Linked DNA regions of Daphnia pulex. The protein of the gene in region 2 purifies or fractionates together with the protein of the main gene of each other region. This does not show direct contact. Links are inferred from orthologs where the notes say so. Each region holds a gene or a part of one and is shown on either strand. Other genes may lie near its edges.

Region 1 (4,947 bases), on a different chromosome or scaffold from region 2:
ACCGTGTTGTTTCTTTGACCACTGCCGGGATTTTTTTAGTTTTTGACGCTACTGGGGTGGCAGTAAAGCGAAAGCCAGCCGACTCGCGAGCCTTCCTCATTAGATCCCGCACGTGCTCCGACAGATGCTTTTGCATTTCCTGTTGAAGAAAAACAAACAAATGTGTTAGCTTATTGATATTAGGGGAAAATGTTTTTCTTTTTACCTGTCTAGCTTTCATCTCACTCCCAAAACTGCTGGCTGTGTACTGGCATCTTTGAAGCAGGTGGCATGAGTAGGAAAATGTTCTACGTATTTCATCTGAATCCATCAGAGAAAAGAGATCCACCAGTTGTTTCTCAGTTAGGAGCTGAAGTTGAGCCAATGATAATTTATTGGCATCAGTAGTCTCTTGTTCGGGTTCAGGTCTTCCTTCAGTGACCTGTTTGCGAGGCCTTCCTCTTGGGTTGCGAGTCTTTCTAGCCAAAGAATCATTGTGGAGAGTAGCTGAAGCAACTTCTGCTAACATATTCAACAGTCCACTGTCAGCATGGCAGCTATCATCATCTCTTGATTCTTGGGCTCCTTTCCCTTCAATGTCATCATCACAACTTTCCATTTTAACTTTGCACTCCAGTTTTTGTGACATTACTCAAGCTACGATTCACCCTTCATTAGTTTTTGAGAATGGTCCTAAAACACAGAAAAAACAACATCAATAATCTAACAAAACAGACAACAACAAAAACCAGTAATCAATCAATAATACCAGGCTTGGCATAATATAGTTATTCCCAACTCAAATAATAAGAAAATAAAATTAACATCATAATAAATATTAAAATAAAAAAAAAATTAATTAAAATCGTTAAGCTTTTTGACTTTTGACTCGTAGTGTTGACTATGAAAACATTAGCAACTCTAGCAGAAAGGCGTCGACAGTACTATTATACGAAGTTTTCGCGCCGCTTGGCTAAAATGGCAGCCGACACGGCACAAACGCAGACGATGTACATCCTAACGGCGGCATTGTCCGTCATCTCGACTCGACTTTCAACAATTTTCGATAAAACGACAAAACAATCTTTAACGAAATGTACCTCAAACTACTCAGAATCGAACTTCTAATCTAAACAACACCAACAATTGTCATGAATATGTCAGATATGTTAGGAAATAACGTTAAAAAATGAAAAATGCTTTGAGATCAAAACTACCTTTAGTCTGCTGGCTTGAGTCGTCTGGAGAGTGAATGGTGGGGGGTAGCTAACGCTATGTTGCCGATTTCCTATTTTGATTATTTTTTGCTATCATAATTATGTGTTATTTATATTTATATCTACTGTTCAGCATTAATAAAAATTTATTTCACAATTCATAGGTTGTAGTTATAATCACTGGATTTATTCATTGCAAGTTAAAAAGCTGTTCCTAATTCATCATTAACAAGCTGTTTTTTAACACTATTTCAACGTAATTAGATTAAATTCACCATATTTATTCTCATTTATTTATCCCGTTGAGGAATTTCAGTCTAGCTGGAATATTTACAGGATTTTAAAAATAAATGGGTCGAGAAATCAGTGTGAAATACAGCGTTGTGTGAGATTCAAAAGAATTACAACCACTTTACATTCTTAGTGCACTAGTGAAATTACATTTGTCGACATCGATTGTATTTCCACGTGCTGCTGTGGAAAGAAAATTTGATGTAATGGCGGCTCGCACTTCAGAAACTGCGTTTTCCCCAAATGGACAATACTTTGCTAATGTAAGCACCGACAGCCGATTAAAAATATGGGAGTGTGAATCCGGAAGACCAAAGCAGGAATTTACCCCCGCGTCGCACTTATCAGCCGCTTGCACGTGTCTCGTTTGGGCACCCCCTACCAAACAGCCGGAACAGGTAAAATTTTTCGTTGTTATTAGTTATATGTAATATATGTAATCATTAGTCAACTTCTTGCAGTTTTAACTGCAGATCATCTGATAATGTTTTGAGGACATCAGTCACTGGACTTGCTTGTGTCATTGTCACTCGCAGAAATCTAACTCCAGAAATTGTGAAGCCATCTTTAGTAATTAAAGCTCATATAACATTTACAGATATTACTGATAAGACTAATTGAGTTCTGGTTTGATTATTCAAATTTTAAAGTGTTGTTAGTTCTCTTTATACTAATAGTACTAGGTAGATACAATTGCCTTGTCCCTGTGTATGTACCACGAACAGTTGTATGGCTTGAATAACAATTGTTTATTCTTTTACAGATTGTGAACCAGAAGAAAAAGAAACGTAAATCCAATGGAGAAGAGAGATCTGGGGTGGCTGGGAGTGATATTATTGCTCTTGGTACAGCCTCAGGAAATATTCTTCTATATAGTCTCAATAGAGCAGAATTGGTACAACAGTTGAAGGGAGGCCACACAGGGAAAATACGCTCTTTGTGTTTTAATAGTGACGGCTCGTCTCTTTTCAGCGCTGCATCGGACCAAAAAATCGTTGAATGGGATCCGGTGGAAGGTGTTATGAAAAGGTCTTGACAGTTCAGAATGTGATAAAAAAGTTCCCATTATTAATGTGGTATATTTTGTTTTAGTCATTGGAAGGTGGAAAAAATCCACGTTTCCCGAATTTGTATGCTGCAAGATGATTGCACTCTTGTAATAGCTGGCCGTTCAATTCAATGTTGGAATGTAGAAAGCCGCTCGATTGTAGCCACATTCACCGGCCACACAACAGAAATTACTCATCTGCTACCCGTGTATTTACCAGGCACAAAAGTTGGATACTTTCTAAGCGCTGCTGATGGAGACCGTTGTATCAGTGCATGGTTAGTGTTTGTAATAAAAACTGAATAATTCAGCATTTACAGTTGCAAGCATTACTAATATTGCAGGAGATTCGTCGGGGAAGAGAAAAACGGGCAGTCCCAGGCGTCGTTTACTTTGCAAGATGATCCGTATAATTTTACCGTTTCAAAACCTGTTTCTGACAAGGATCCAGTCGTTTTGGCGGCAGTGACGGTCACAGGGATCCTTCACATCTTTGAGCATCATTTAAATGGGTATAATTTTTTTGTTACATTTGTGTTGAATATGGATTCAATGATTTGTTTTGTAATTTACTAGACGGTCAAAGAAGCCTTTGCAACCAGTTGTAAAGATCCATATTGGAAGTGATGTAGTTGGTACCGCAAGTCCACTTCCCGTTTTATCTGCATATTCGTGTGGTGATGCAGATGGAAACTGTATCATTGTATACGGGTCGCTTGTTCGACCTGGATTTGAAAAGATGGTATGTTTTATTTATTTAAATTTGCTGGTGTACATAGTAATTATTATTCGATATGTGTAACAGTGTTACCGATCCCAAGAAGGAATGGCTTATATTGTTCGAAGAGATCCAGCTTCTCTGGATAATTCTAAATTTGATACTACGTCATCGGCTTTGAAATTGAAAACTCCCATATTGCCAGCTGATGTTAAAACCTTAGCTCCAGAGTACATGGTGCCAATGGCAGCGTCCGCTGAGGTCGGAGGTGTTGTTGCTGGAAGAAAGCGGAGAACGCAAAATTCGGAATCAAGTTCTGGTCCGGTTTCGGCAAAAGATTCTCTTCCGATGGAACAGAGGCTTTCAGCTTTGAATCTTACCAAGACCGTCGATGCCGTTGCCCCTCCACAGGCCGATAACATGGCCCAACTTCTTCTTCAGGTTTGTTGAAACACCAGTAAAATAAAACCTCTTGCATTGCTTCGCATCATCTTAACCTCTTCTTCGTCATTTTATAGGGGCTACACAGTAGGGATCCAAAAATTTTACAGAGTGTGTTGGATCGCGGTGATGTTCACATCATCGGCAACACGATTCGGCGAATTCCAGTACAGGCCGTTTTGCCACTTATCCTAGAACTGACGCGTATGATGCAATTCAGAGGGCATCCCAATTATTCTTATGCAAAGTACGTATATTTGTCGTGTGTTCCTAGATAAATGGCTGTTCTTACTATTCTTTATTGTTTCCCGTTGACAGGTGGTTGCGATCTTTGTTGGAACATCACGCTGGATATTTGACATCGTGTCCTGATTTGGCGTCGGTTATGACGCCACTCTTAGCTCTGATGACTGCCCGCACTTCGCTCTTCCCTAAGCTTTCGCAGTTACGTGGTAGACTGCATCTTATGTTGGGAGAATTGGAACATCGAAGCGATAAACAAGATTCTACAACAACTGAACTACCAGCTACAGCTCTTCTTGTGTACAGAGAAGGTATTAAAATCAGAAATATCGACTCAATGTCTATCAATACTGACGACTTAATACTTTCCCAGAATCGTCCGACGAAGCAAGTGAAGAAGGAGATTGGCCACTACAATCTGGGTCTGAATCAGAAGATCAATGGGATGAATTATCTGATTATGGCGAAAGTATGGACGTGAACGAAGTGAAAGGTGACAGTGATCAAGAATCTGACGATGAAGACAATAATGAGGAAATCGACGAAGAAGTGGAAGAAGCTTCTGATAACGACATTGAAAGCGTTGTAGAAAATGGGTTGTCAGATTGATTTAATTTCAGTTCCCCATGGATTCATGAAAATTACAAATGAAGTTAATTTTCGAAATGTATCTACGCAAAAATTTTTTTATTCATTCCAAAAAAACTTTTACTTAACAATTTGCGTCTTGTCGATTCCTTTGTCGACCACAAGACGGTCAATCATATGTACAGCACAACATTGAATCAACAATAGAGCTTATTTGGAAATCCAAGCTTGCACATCGTCAACATGGGAATCAGTGATTAGTAAAGTCGAGATGGACATGCAGCTCTTTTACGCCAATCGCCTGGAATATCTGTTGAGTACGGTGTGTAACATACCGCGCATCAGCTTCAGGTTTCAACTCAAGCTTTAGTGCTCCAACATACTTTTCGGAACAAAGTGTCCAGAAATGCGGCTCCTTTAGA
Region 2 (5,178 bases):
GGGGGGAAAGAAAGAAATATAACAGGTTGTTACAGCTTGTGAGAGAGTCGACAACACGGTCGGGGTCTTCTTCTTCTTCTTCTTCTTCGTTGTAAAACAAAATAAAGAGAGACGGAAGGAGATTTTTCGGCTTGCCGAGTGAAAGGAGCTGGAGGGGGGGGGGACGTGTCTCATGTGAGGATTGCTGGTTGGTCGGGCTATCAAAACACACGCTGTTATATTTCGGGCGGGACGGGCCCAGCTGTTGACAGCTGGCTCCATCAGCGCTTCTTCTTCTTTTTCTTTTTGCCCTTTGACAACATAACAAGAAGAGTGGCCGTGTGTGTGTGTCTCTTTAAAGCTGGAAATGCCCGGCCGATCAGTCACACGCACACGCGGGAGCGTTGCACAACACTAAGAGAAATTCCACTTCAATTTGATCCGGCTGCTTTTTTGTTGGGTGGGGGAGGCGGTACCAAATAAAACAAGAAGGGGGGCCTTCATTTGAGTTGCTGATAACAAATTGATGGCCGCCAGAGATTAGACGTGTGAAAACTACTCGAAGAGGGTCATCAATTTGCCATTCCGGCAGCGCCAAAAGATTTTTACTTTTTTTTTTCCTCCACGATCAATTAAGCAATCAGGAGGGGCCGCTCGGACATGTCGTGTTTACCGATGCCGTTTCATGTCCGACTATTCGTCGATGGACACAATCAAAAATACAAGAATTTGATTAAGGACGAGCTACCGGATGGATTGCCAATTTTCTTCGTCGGGCCATGGCGGGCCAGCCAGCCGATGATCAACATGTGGAAAATGTCCGCCGGAATCGAATTTTCCCCGTCAGCTCTTAAAAGGGTCGACATTTTAGGACTGAAAAAAGGTCCTGAATGCAATCAGCGACAATTAGATTTCCAACATTTTCCCGGATGGGCATGGATTTCGTCGCTTTTGATGAGCACCAAACATCCCACACACTGTTGATCAAAGTTTAACGAATTTTCTAAATGTTTTAGAGCTCTTCCGCATTAAACGTATCGATTATTCTTTTTTGGGGCTTGGAGTAATATCACAGAGTCTTCCAATTTCTCCTTGACATGCAAATCCTCAACCGCTCGAATTCAGGACAGCCGATTGCTGCCTTTACTGGATTGGTGGTGGGTGTCATCAGATTCCGTCGTGCCATTCGGATGAGTTGGGAATGACGGACCAGAAACTTCGCCCGGGTGGATCGCCTTACTCCAATTCCATCCCGACAGCAGCAAAGCAAAGCAAAGCAAAGCAGCCCAGGAATTTGTCTTGTTTATTATTTGTCGCTGAACTTTTGGGATTGAAACAAACTCTGGTTTCACGCTGAAGTGTCGCGGCCACTGTGGTGTGTATGTACGTACGTACGTCTCTGGTACCCACGCAGCTTTTGTCAATCTGACGTCATTTGTACCACAGCCCATCAAGAGTGGAGGGAGCTGGGAGGGGTTTATTTTCTTGTTTAGGCAATTGGTCGGGTTACTTCGACAGCCCTGAAGAAAGAAATTGTACTTGAAGAAATCAAATAAAGCAACGGTTTTTACTTGTAGTACACACAGTCGTAGACGATGGAGTATACCGAAACATCAAACGAAAAGAAAGACGACCGCAACTGCGTCACTCGGCGAGCTTTGGTAATCGTTTTCATGGCCAAGGACAAAACAGAATTCAAGAAGAGACATTTTTCTTGTTTTGGGTTTTTTTATTCTTAATATAATCCTGGCCCCGGCCTTCAGAAGTTTTGACTGTCCCCATTCCACTTGAACTGAACGACGAGAGAGCATTAAAAAGTAAGTAGTCTACTCTTTTTGATCATTGTGTGACATTGAAGAAGTTGCCTTTGTGTGTGCAGGGTAAGTATGTTTGATGTCAACTGTCGTGGGACTGTGTTAATATTGAAAAGGTTTTGTTTTTTGTGGGGGCGAAAATGTATTGATTTTTTCTTTGTATATAAAGACGATTACAAAATACAAATACACTGTTGCGTACCTGTCAACTTGAGTTTTCATTGATTATTTTTGAATTTCGATGGATAAGGATACAAGCTTCGGAAATGAACGGTAGATGGACTCAGTGCACTGGCAACACGTGGTCGTCTGCTAGCAAAGCGTGTAACGTGGTTATGACTTTTGATGAACAATTTACCAAGTTATTTTCTTTGTTGCAGTAAATTTGACGGTTGATTGATATTGTTTTTTTCTTAGCTGCTTTTGCAATTATTTCTCGTAAAATGGACAAGAACCTCTTCAAAATTCACAGCACCAGATTCTACGATGTAGAACCAAAAGCGATACACAGTATGGCTTACGAGTCTAACCGGCTAGCTCTTTCCAGGTAATTCAAAAATGAAAGCTTTTATCCCATGACAATGTTGCTCATTTTGTATTGAAAAATTGAAAGGTCAGACAACAGTATAGAAATATGGAATTTGGAACATTCTCCTCACATTGAAAAGTTGATTCCTGGTTCCCCAGAAGGCTCAATCGAAGCGTTAGTTTGGTCCAAAGGCAGGCTCTTTTCCACCGGCTTGCATGGTTTTGTGGTCGAGTATGACTTGGTTGCTCTTTCGCCCAAAGCAAGTTACGCTGTCACATCAGGATCTGCATGGTGTCTTGCAGTCAACAAGGAACACACACACTTGGCGGTAAATTGTTTTACATTACAGCAAAAGTATTTGTAATTCAATTTTTGTTGTTGTCTGCAGGCCGGCTCTGAAGAAGGATATGTCTGCTTGTTTGAAATCTTTGAAGAAGGATTGATGTACTATAAAGTTTTCGACAAACAAGAAGGTTAGAACTTGAAGGTGTTTTGACGATTGCAGTGGAATTTTATCTTTTGGTGCACATTTGAATCTTTAGGTCGTATTCTTTCTCTGTCCTGGCACAGCTCAGGCGACTTTATCGTCACAGGATCATCCAACGCGATAAGAGTATGGAACGTGAAAACTGGTCACGCCGTCAATCGTCTATCTCTCGGTCGTGCCGACAGTTTTAAAGTAAAACCATTTGCCTTCCACTTTCCATTCAAAGTTCTGACTCCATTTCTTTTTAATAGGAAACTCTCGTCTGGTGTGTCTGCATCACAGACGACTTTGTCATCATCAGTGGCGACTCTAGAGGCATGACATCGTTTTGGAACGGTAAATTGGGCACTCTGATTGACGAAGTGAACGCCCACAAAGCCGACGTACTCTGCCTGTGTCTATCTGAAGATCAAAAGACTCTCTACTCGGCTGGTAAACTCAATTCATTGGTTCAATTAAAAACGGATAGATAACATCATTGGCCCACTCTACAACATTTGATTGAATCGCAGGAGTCGATCCGGTCATAGTGCTCTTTGCTCGCGTCACAGCCGGAGTCCGGAATCAGTGGATTCGATCTGTCCAGCGTGCCATCCACTCCCACGACGTACGCAGTCTGGCCCTGGCCGGTTCCAAATTAATATCCGGAGGTATGTCGAAAAGAAAAATCATGCATTTAAATTGCAAAAAGAATAATGTTCAATCATCTCGAAATGAATTCCGTCATATTTCTTTTTTGATGATTTATTTCTTTTTGGGTTTTTCTTTCAAGGCGTGGATGCCTATTTGTGCATCTCATCATATCCTCCAAAGGCGTTAAATAGATACCCACCCTTACCTCAGGTATGTGTATAAAAATATCGAAAAAGAAAAATGAGAAACGGACTTGAATAATGATGGCTCGCGGTTGTTGTTGTTGTTGTTGTTGTCTTTTGGGGATTCGTCTACAACACACAGGCGCCGTGCGTGCAGATGGCTCAAGGCAAGCGACAGCTGCTGCTGCGTTACCCGACGTCGCTGGATGTGTGGCAGCTGGGCGCGGCCGCCCCGAGCGGTCACCAGCTCAGCGCCAATACTTTTTTGAAACTATCCCAAGAGCCGGCCCGTCTCTTGCAGCTGAAGGCTAAAGATGACGAATGGATTGTCTGCGCTACCGTGTCACCCGGTGGCGATTACGTGGCCTACGCCACCGAGTCCAACGTCTACATTTATCATTTCATTCAGGTATTTATTTATTTATTTTTTCTGGTCCCGTATTTTTCGGCCTTTCACGAATTGCTTTTTCTTGTTCCGTTTGACGTGAAAAATGTGAAAACGACTTTCTTTTTTATATTTTTCATTTATTTCTCTCCCCCCAGTCGGCTGGAACATTGCAACTCAAAAAGTTGGTACCGCCGGAAGACGTCGGCACCTGCCACCGGATGATGTTCATCCATCACCCGACAGAGCCCGACCTTTCTGCCCGTCTCTTGCTGGCCACGCCGAAATTGACGCTCCAGTTGGTTGACGTTGGCAGCTCGGGATCGATGAAAATGGTTCACACGTTCAGCCGCGAGAGCGGCCAATTGACGATGGACGACTGCATCCATTTGATGGACTGCTCGGCCGACGGTCGACTGGCCGTCGTGGCCGATCACACGAGCAACGTCGTCATCCTGGACCTGAAATCCTACAAAGTGCACGCCACTCTGCCGCGCTACAAGAGTCACCCGACGGCGCTGGCCTTCCATCCGTCGTCGCATCTCCTGGTGGTGTCGTACGCCGATCACAAGATCGTCGAGTACGACGTCATCCGTCGCCAGTACACGCCCTTCTCCAAGAAACTCTCGGAGAAGCTGCCCGTCCAGTGGCTGAGTCGATCCTGCGCCGTCCGGCACATCACGTTCGACGTCCGCCACCCGGACGTGATCATCCTGCACGACGACAGCGTCATCTACACGATCGACAAGAACAAGGTAAAGATGGGACCCTTTTCGGTATGTTGTCATCGACGGTTGTTGTTTGGCTTTCTTTTGTTTGATTTCTTTCTTTCCTGGGAAGGCAAAACAAGTTGATGGCCGCTTTGGTAACAGTTCCCCATGACCCCTCGACTGGCCAGTGGAGAGTTTCTATTATTCTTATCCCTTTTTATTTTCTTTCTTCTTTCGCCGGTTGGAATAGGAATTTTCTGAGCCGGATGCCAAGATTACCAAATTCGATACGGGAACGGAGGACAGCCTGGACGCTCCACCCGCCGCGCTCAAGGCGCCCTCAGCCCAGCAACAGAAACTGAACTCGACGGCGGCCGGCAGTGGACCGTCGTCTTCTTGCTTTGGCATGTCGAAGAAATACAAACACCTGGCCTACTTTGGTGCCCTTGACGTTGGCGG
Region 3 (5,100 bases), on a different chromosome or scaffold from region 2:
ATTTGATGTTCTTTTTTCAGATGTTCCGCAACTATGTGTTTTAATTGACTAACAAATTCGCAATTAGGACACTTGTAACAAAATACTTGTTCGAATTCTATCGCGCTGTCTAAAGTTTCCATTTCTATCGCCTATTAATACAAGTAACTTTTCTTCAATGTTGTTGTTTATGACTTATCAGTGACACCTGTCGGCAGTATGTAGAATTAGATTTGAATAAAAAGAAACCTTTCGGAAATATTTCGATAAGGGCGTAATTGGCGGATTGCATATATAAAAAACAAATAAAGCCAAGAGACAGTTTTAAAATGTGTCAAATTATTTCAGTTCTTAGTTATCCATTGGCAATCCAATGTCAATAATTTTTGTTGAGTCGCTTCTTCCTTCAATGCCGGCATCTTTGACTCGATATGCCCGTTCATGAGCGTAGGCAAGTCATTTGTTGCACCATTCTCCGAGTCAGCTTTCACGGTCATCAATTTGGTGTCATGCTTAATCATGAGGTCAATCATGAAGGAATTGCAAATTCTAGACATTGGAGGTAAGGTGGAAGTTGACGTCTCCAACAGCTAAATAGACCAAATGGAAGAATCAGTTAATCAAGTAAATGTATACACAACTGATGATGAGAAATGTAGTTACCGATTGAACTGATTTATATCCCTTGATGCCGTTTGTTTGATGGATGACCGGAACTATCTGCTTGGCTGCCGAGATCTGTTTCTGTGCTTTGATGGCTGAGAAAGGAGTCCAAGGTAAACTGTCAATGTGAGAAATTGGGGTAGTCAACTTCTCGTCAAAACCACAGACGGAATTGTCATCCACACTGTAAAATTCCTATAATCAAAGAAATTCGTTAATACGGTGATGGTTCACATAGTAAATCTTTTAATCTTACTTGTTGATCATCAACAATCAAAAGCCGTGAATTTACTAGCCATTCTGGGCTGTTTGCCAGAGGATTCGGTCGGGGAACAAAAAGAGCCGCAATAGGTTCTGAACTCTTCACGTTCGTTATAGTATGTACCGGTTTCGAACTCGAAGGTGCGAACACGAACACTATGAACACAATGAAAGATAAGCATTCGAATTTCATTAATGGATTTTCACGGGAAAAGTACCTTCACTGTTTTGCAAGACCACTGCCATATAGCTGGACTTGGGATCAGGCACCAAACACCTGATAGGGCTACGCAATTTCCCGACTTTCCAAACTAGTCCTTTACTAATTACATCCCATGCGAAGAGGGATGATTTTGAAGCACAAACGAGATAGCGAAAGCATTGATCTCTTCCGAATTCCATCAGCCTAGAGTAACCAAACTGTTAGTAAAACACTAGCCATTATCGTTTTAGGTTTGAAAACTTACTCAATAGATTCTTCAATAAGGTTATGGCTTAAAGTCGTGTTGAGGTTGATGGTCATTGGATCCCATAAAGTAACAGTGTCTTGAAAAGCAATGGCCAGTAACGAGCCGTCTTCCGAAAAGGATGCAGCGGTTGGCATCATTTTACGGAAGTCTCCTGCAACGTCGCAAGTCCACGATTCCTTCTGACGGTAAATGTCCGTGTCGTCGACTAACCGCCAAATTTTGAATTTAAGATCGCGGCCAATAGATACGAGGCAAGGGTACTCTGTGCCCAGCAGTCCCGGTTGGAAGGCCAAGGAGGTGATCCGATCGTGGTGTGGCATAGTTACGTCCGTGTTGAGTTCGTAGTTGGCTTGCACAGCGTCGTATCGCCAAAACTTTAAGTTCATGTCATGATAGCCTGCTGACATGTTCGACCAAACTTCCAGTGTTGCTAACCACTCACCTGTGGGTGACACAGCAACTCGCAACACTTCGGCGTTACCGATGATGGTGTTTCGTTCGTCAGTCAGAACGTTGCGATTGGCAATGTCCATCTAGAAAACAAATTACAAGAAATTTGTTTCATTAATGAACATTTTGTGATCGAACTTGTGTGTGAAAAATTGTCTTACATTGAAAATCATGGAACCTCTCAGAGGATCAAAAAGCTGGAGGAATCCAGCTTGTGAATTGAAGAAAATTCCTTGGGTTCGTGGATCAAAAACCAGACCAGTAGGCATCACCGATTCTTTCTTTGATTCACCATCTTCAAGACCACGGATCGGATCGTGTTTGATTAACCCACCAAAAATGGCCTGATTGATTTTGTTGGTCGAATCAATTATACGTATAGCTATGGGGGGGGGGGGATAAAATTCTATCATTTAAACCTTTTTTGTTCCTTATTAAAAGTTTGATCATTACCATTGTCGGAATGAGATGTGGCGACGCAGATGTTATCAGGAGCGTTCACAATGAATTTGATTGTTGAGCCCATACGTGGAAGAAACTGTCTGTGTTTGCCTTCAAGTCGCCACTTGACCATTACTTTCTCAGATCCTCCACTGTAAAGGTATTCACCTAAATTTAAATTTAAAAATAGTACATAATTAAGACACAGTCATGCAGAACCTCTTAAAAGCAACAAACCTTCACTAGAAAAACAGACCGAGGAAACAGCAAGTGTGTGCCAATGGTACACAGTCTTCACTGGTCTGATCTGATTAACAAAGTCATGCCAAAGAAGAATACGGCCAGAGATATCTCCTGTGGCCATTATAAGTTTTTCCTTGTGCAAAGCAATACAAGTGAACTTTCTCTTGTCTGTCATGTGCCTATTTCAAAATATTTGATAAGTTAAAATTCAAAATTATAGAAATATATAGCTTACTTTTTCTCAGCTCCACTATTCATGTCTTTGACCAACACACCATTACATTGGTAATTCAAGGCCCCTATAACCAGTGATCCATTTCCTTGATCACAGCCAAATGCAACAGACTGGGGTTCTTTTCTAATATCTTCAGAGAATATTTCCCTTTCACTTGTGCTATTGACAATCCAAAGAGAGGAACCGTTGGTATTTTTTGATGGAGTTGATAACAGAAACATGCCATTTCCTGGATAGTAAAAAGAACAGAATTTTTTCATGCCATCAACTGCAACTGAAGTTTTCTGCAAAAAGAATGGAAGTTTAAGAAAACAAAACTTGAGAGGGGATAAATTTACTAGACAACAACCTTCAGTAGTTTTCCGTCTTTTATATCCCATTCAATAACGTCTCCAGAGGTGTCACACGAGTAGAGAACATTCTCCTCTTTGATACCCAAACCAATGATATCAAAACTATGTTTTTTTAAACAATGCACTTTATCTCCCGATTGGATGCTGTAAATTCCTACTTGGCGGCCAGACGCGATGCATAAATACCTGTCAAGCGAATAGAAGCACAAACAAAATAATTCCTAAACATTTTGACTGTTTGAAATAATTACTATACCTTGAATCGTCGGTAAAAACCGGAGGTTGTTTAACAATGTCGGGTGCATCTTCTTGTTTTTTAACAACAATATTGTCTGTATTAGTTTTAGCTTTATCCGGACCACGTGCTTTCTTATTCGCCATTTTCACTATTTAAAGCCGAAAAGAAAAAGACAGAAAATTGTTCGTCTGCTATGGCAATGGTTGCCACTCTGTAGCGTCTGTGCGGAATAACAAGCAATCCGCGCAACGCTGGGGATAAACAGCGGCAAATATAATTTTATCAGAAATCACAGACGGGTGTTACTAAAACGCGAAGCGAAACGGCGGAACGCGAAACTCCTAAAACGCGAAACAGTGGTGCGAAACGGTCCCAAAAATTTTCGGGACCGTTTCGCAGTTTAGGCGCTAGAGGTCTTACTAAAATGCGAAACCGTAGACGCGAAACAGTCGACGTCAGTCGTCAGTGTATTGTTAAAAGTAGTCGTCAAAGTGTCGAACTAGAAGCTAATAAAAAATTGAAAGTAAGTTATTTTTTTAATTTATTTATTTAAAGACGAGAATATAATTCAAAAATTTCCGTGTATTTAAAGTTCTTCGTTTCGAGAAGTGCATATTACTGTTCTACACAACATTTATTCATTATGATTCTTATTATTGATTATGACAATTATGATTCTAGCCTTCTAGGTTATCACTTCTCAGCTTACAGTAAGGGCACACTGCCAATGTGTGTAGTTGCATGTAGAGGTCATTCATGGTCCTGTTAAAACACAAAGTAAGTTCAAATATTTCATGCATAAGTTTCAAAAGTTGTATAACTGTTTGCGCGTGTATTTTCTTCGTTGCTAAAGTTGCGTGAAGCGTTTGCTTTGGAAAGCGCGACGACCACAAATATTTACTGGCGATTACGTAGAAAATCCAGCACAGGGCACGATACATTTTTTTTTTATGCTAAGGTTGACATTCTGGGTAAAATCTCACTTGAACGACATTTTTATCGAAAAACGAAGTAGAATTGTCTTTCTCAACCGAATATAGCATTTTAAAACTTAACAGCTATCCGCCTTTTTATCTGAGATGGAATCTCGTTCCGTTATTTCATCATTCATGACATCGCAAGTAGCGTCAGGAGGGAAATCTTTTCTCGTTCAGTTTAGATTGAAAAAACAAAACAAAAACGAAGCATTTTACATTTTCATAAAGCTGAACGGTACGCATAAAGCATTTGCGTGCCATACGTGAAAGCTGGAGTTGAAAATTGTTGAAATGTGTCCTTAGTGCCTGGCAATTTGTTCATTTTTTTGTCTGCTTTTAAAGGAAAGTAGAGGAAAAAGAGAATTTATACTGACACCGTCACATATTGGCGTGGACGTATGGATTAGATTGTTAACGAATCACGCACGTCCGCCATATATGGCGTCACTAAGCGTCCCTATCGTCTCCTCGGGCGCGACGTATGAAATTGATCAAACAGATACAAACCATTTCTTTTTGTTTTCATAGAAAACATACTTGTGTGTTATCACGCGCCTTCTCTCAACGCAAATGAAAAATATTACTACATGTTCCGATTTTGTCTTCACCTTCGAATTTTGTCTTATTTGTCCGACTTCCCTTGACATCAGGGTCCTTGGGAACAAACTTGAGGAATCCTCCTCTCTCAATTGCGTAGCATAGAAAGGAAGTTGTAACCGCAAAGACAGATTCGTTTTAGAGGCTCTTTTTTTTTATCTTGATTTAATTCGTTCGGATTCGTTCGGAAGTT

Evidence for each region.
Region 1: the proteins of U3 small nucleolar RNA-associated protein 4 homolog (region 2) and WD repeat-containing protein 43-like purify together in Homo sapiens (co-immunoprecipitation; 5 studies listed by BioGRID and IntAct, counting the BioPlex papers as one, with this or other methods). This does not show direct contact. The link is inferred for Daphnia pulex from reciprocal best matches to the Homo sapiens genes UTP4 and WDR43.
Region 3: the proteins of U3 small nucleolar RNA-associated protein 4 homolog (region 2) and WD repeat-containing protein 75-like purify together in Homo sapiens (co-immunoprecipitation; 3 studies listed by BioGRID and IntAct, counting the BioPlex papers as one, with this or other methods). This does not show direct contact. The link is inferred for Daphnia pulex from reciprocal best matches to the Homo sapiens genes UTP4 and WDR75.

Annotation. Positions count from the first base shown.
Region 1 is NC_060019.1:12,668,845-12,673,791, forward strand, and holds WD repeat-containing protein 43-like, read left to right. Parts: upstream 1-1,507; 5' UTR 1,508-1,693; coding exon 1,694-1,885; intron 1,886-2,250; coding exon 2,251-2,516; intron 2,517-2,579; coding exon 2,580-2,813; intron 2,814-2,879; coding exon 2,880-3,047; intron 3,048-3,111; coding exon 3,112-3,277; intron 3,278-3,340; coding exon 3,341-3,694; intron 3,695-3,771; coding exon 3,772-3,941; intron 3,942-4,012; coding exon 4,013-4,248; intron 4,249-4,310; coding exon 4,311-4,546; 3' UTR 4,547-4,607; downstream 4,608-4,947. Other genes in the region: uncharacterized protein LOC124191035, read right to left, coding at 1-139, 206-628; zinc transporter 7-like, read right to left, coding at 4,776-4,940. UniProt on the Homo sapiens protein: Ribosome biogenesis factor that coordinates hyperactive transcription and ribogenesis. Part of the small subunit (SSU) processome, first precursor of the small eukaryotic ribosomal subunit.
Region 2 is NC_060026.1:2,372,098-2,377,275, reverse strand, and holds the start of U3 small nucleolar RNA-associated protein 4 homolog, read left to right. Parts: upstream 1-2,083; 5' UTR 2,084-2,138; coding exon 2,139-2,154; intron 2,155-2,210; coding exon 2,211-2,340; intron 2,341-2,406; coding exon 2,407-2,650; intron 2,651-2,710; coding exon 2,711-2,795; intron 2,796-2,864; coding exon 2,865-3,001; intron 3,002-3,060; coding exon 3,061-3,241; intron 3,242-3,321; coding exon 3,322-3,459; intron 3,460-3,581; coding exon 3,582-3,652; intron 3,653-3,766; coding exon 3,767-4,033; intron 4,034-4,167; coding exon 4,168-4,764; intron 4,765-4,969; coding exon 4,970-5,178. UniProt on the Homo sapiens protein: Ribosome biogenesis factor. Involved in nucleolar processing of pre-18S ribosomal RNA. Part of the small subunit (SSU) processome, first precursor of the small eukaryotic ribosomal subunit.
Region 3 is NC_060024.1:6,403,237-6,408,336, reverse strand, and holds WD repeat-containing protein 75-like, read right to left. Parts: upstream 3,560-5,100; 5' UTR 3,477-3,559; coding exon 3,352-3,476; intron 3,282-3,351; coding exon 3,092-3,281; intron 3,027-3,091; coding exon 2,743-3,026; intron 2,687-2,742; coding exon 2,502-2,686; intron 2,433-2,501; coding exon 2,277-2,432; intron 2,206-2,276; coding exon 1,985-2,205; intron 1,907-1,984; coding exon 1,371-1,906; intron 1,310-1,370; coding exon 1,122-1,309; intron 1,060-1,121; coding exon 899-1,059; intron 838-898; coding exon 643-837; intron 570-642; coding exon 324-569; 3' UTR 239-323; downstream 1-238. Other genes in the region: zinc finger protein 664-like, read right to left, coding at 1-122. UniProt on the Homo sapiens protein: Ribosome biogenesis factor. Part of the small subunit (SSU) processome, first precursor of the small eukaryotic ribosomal subunit.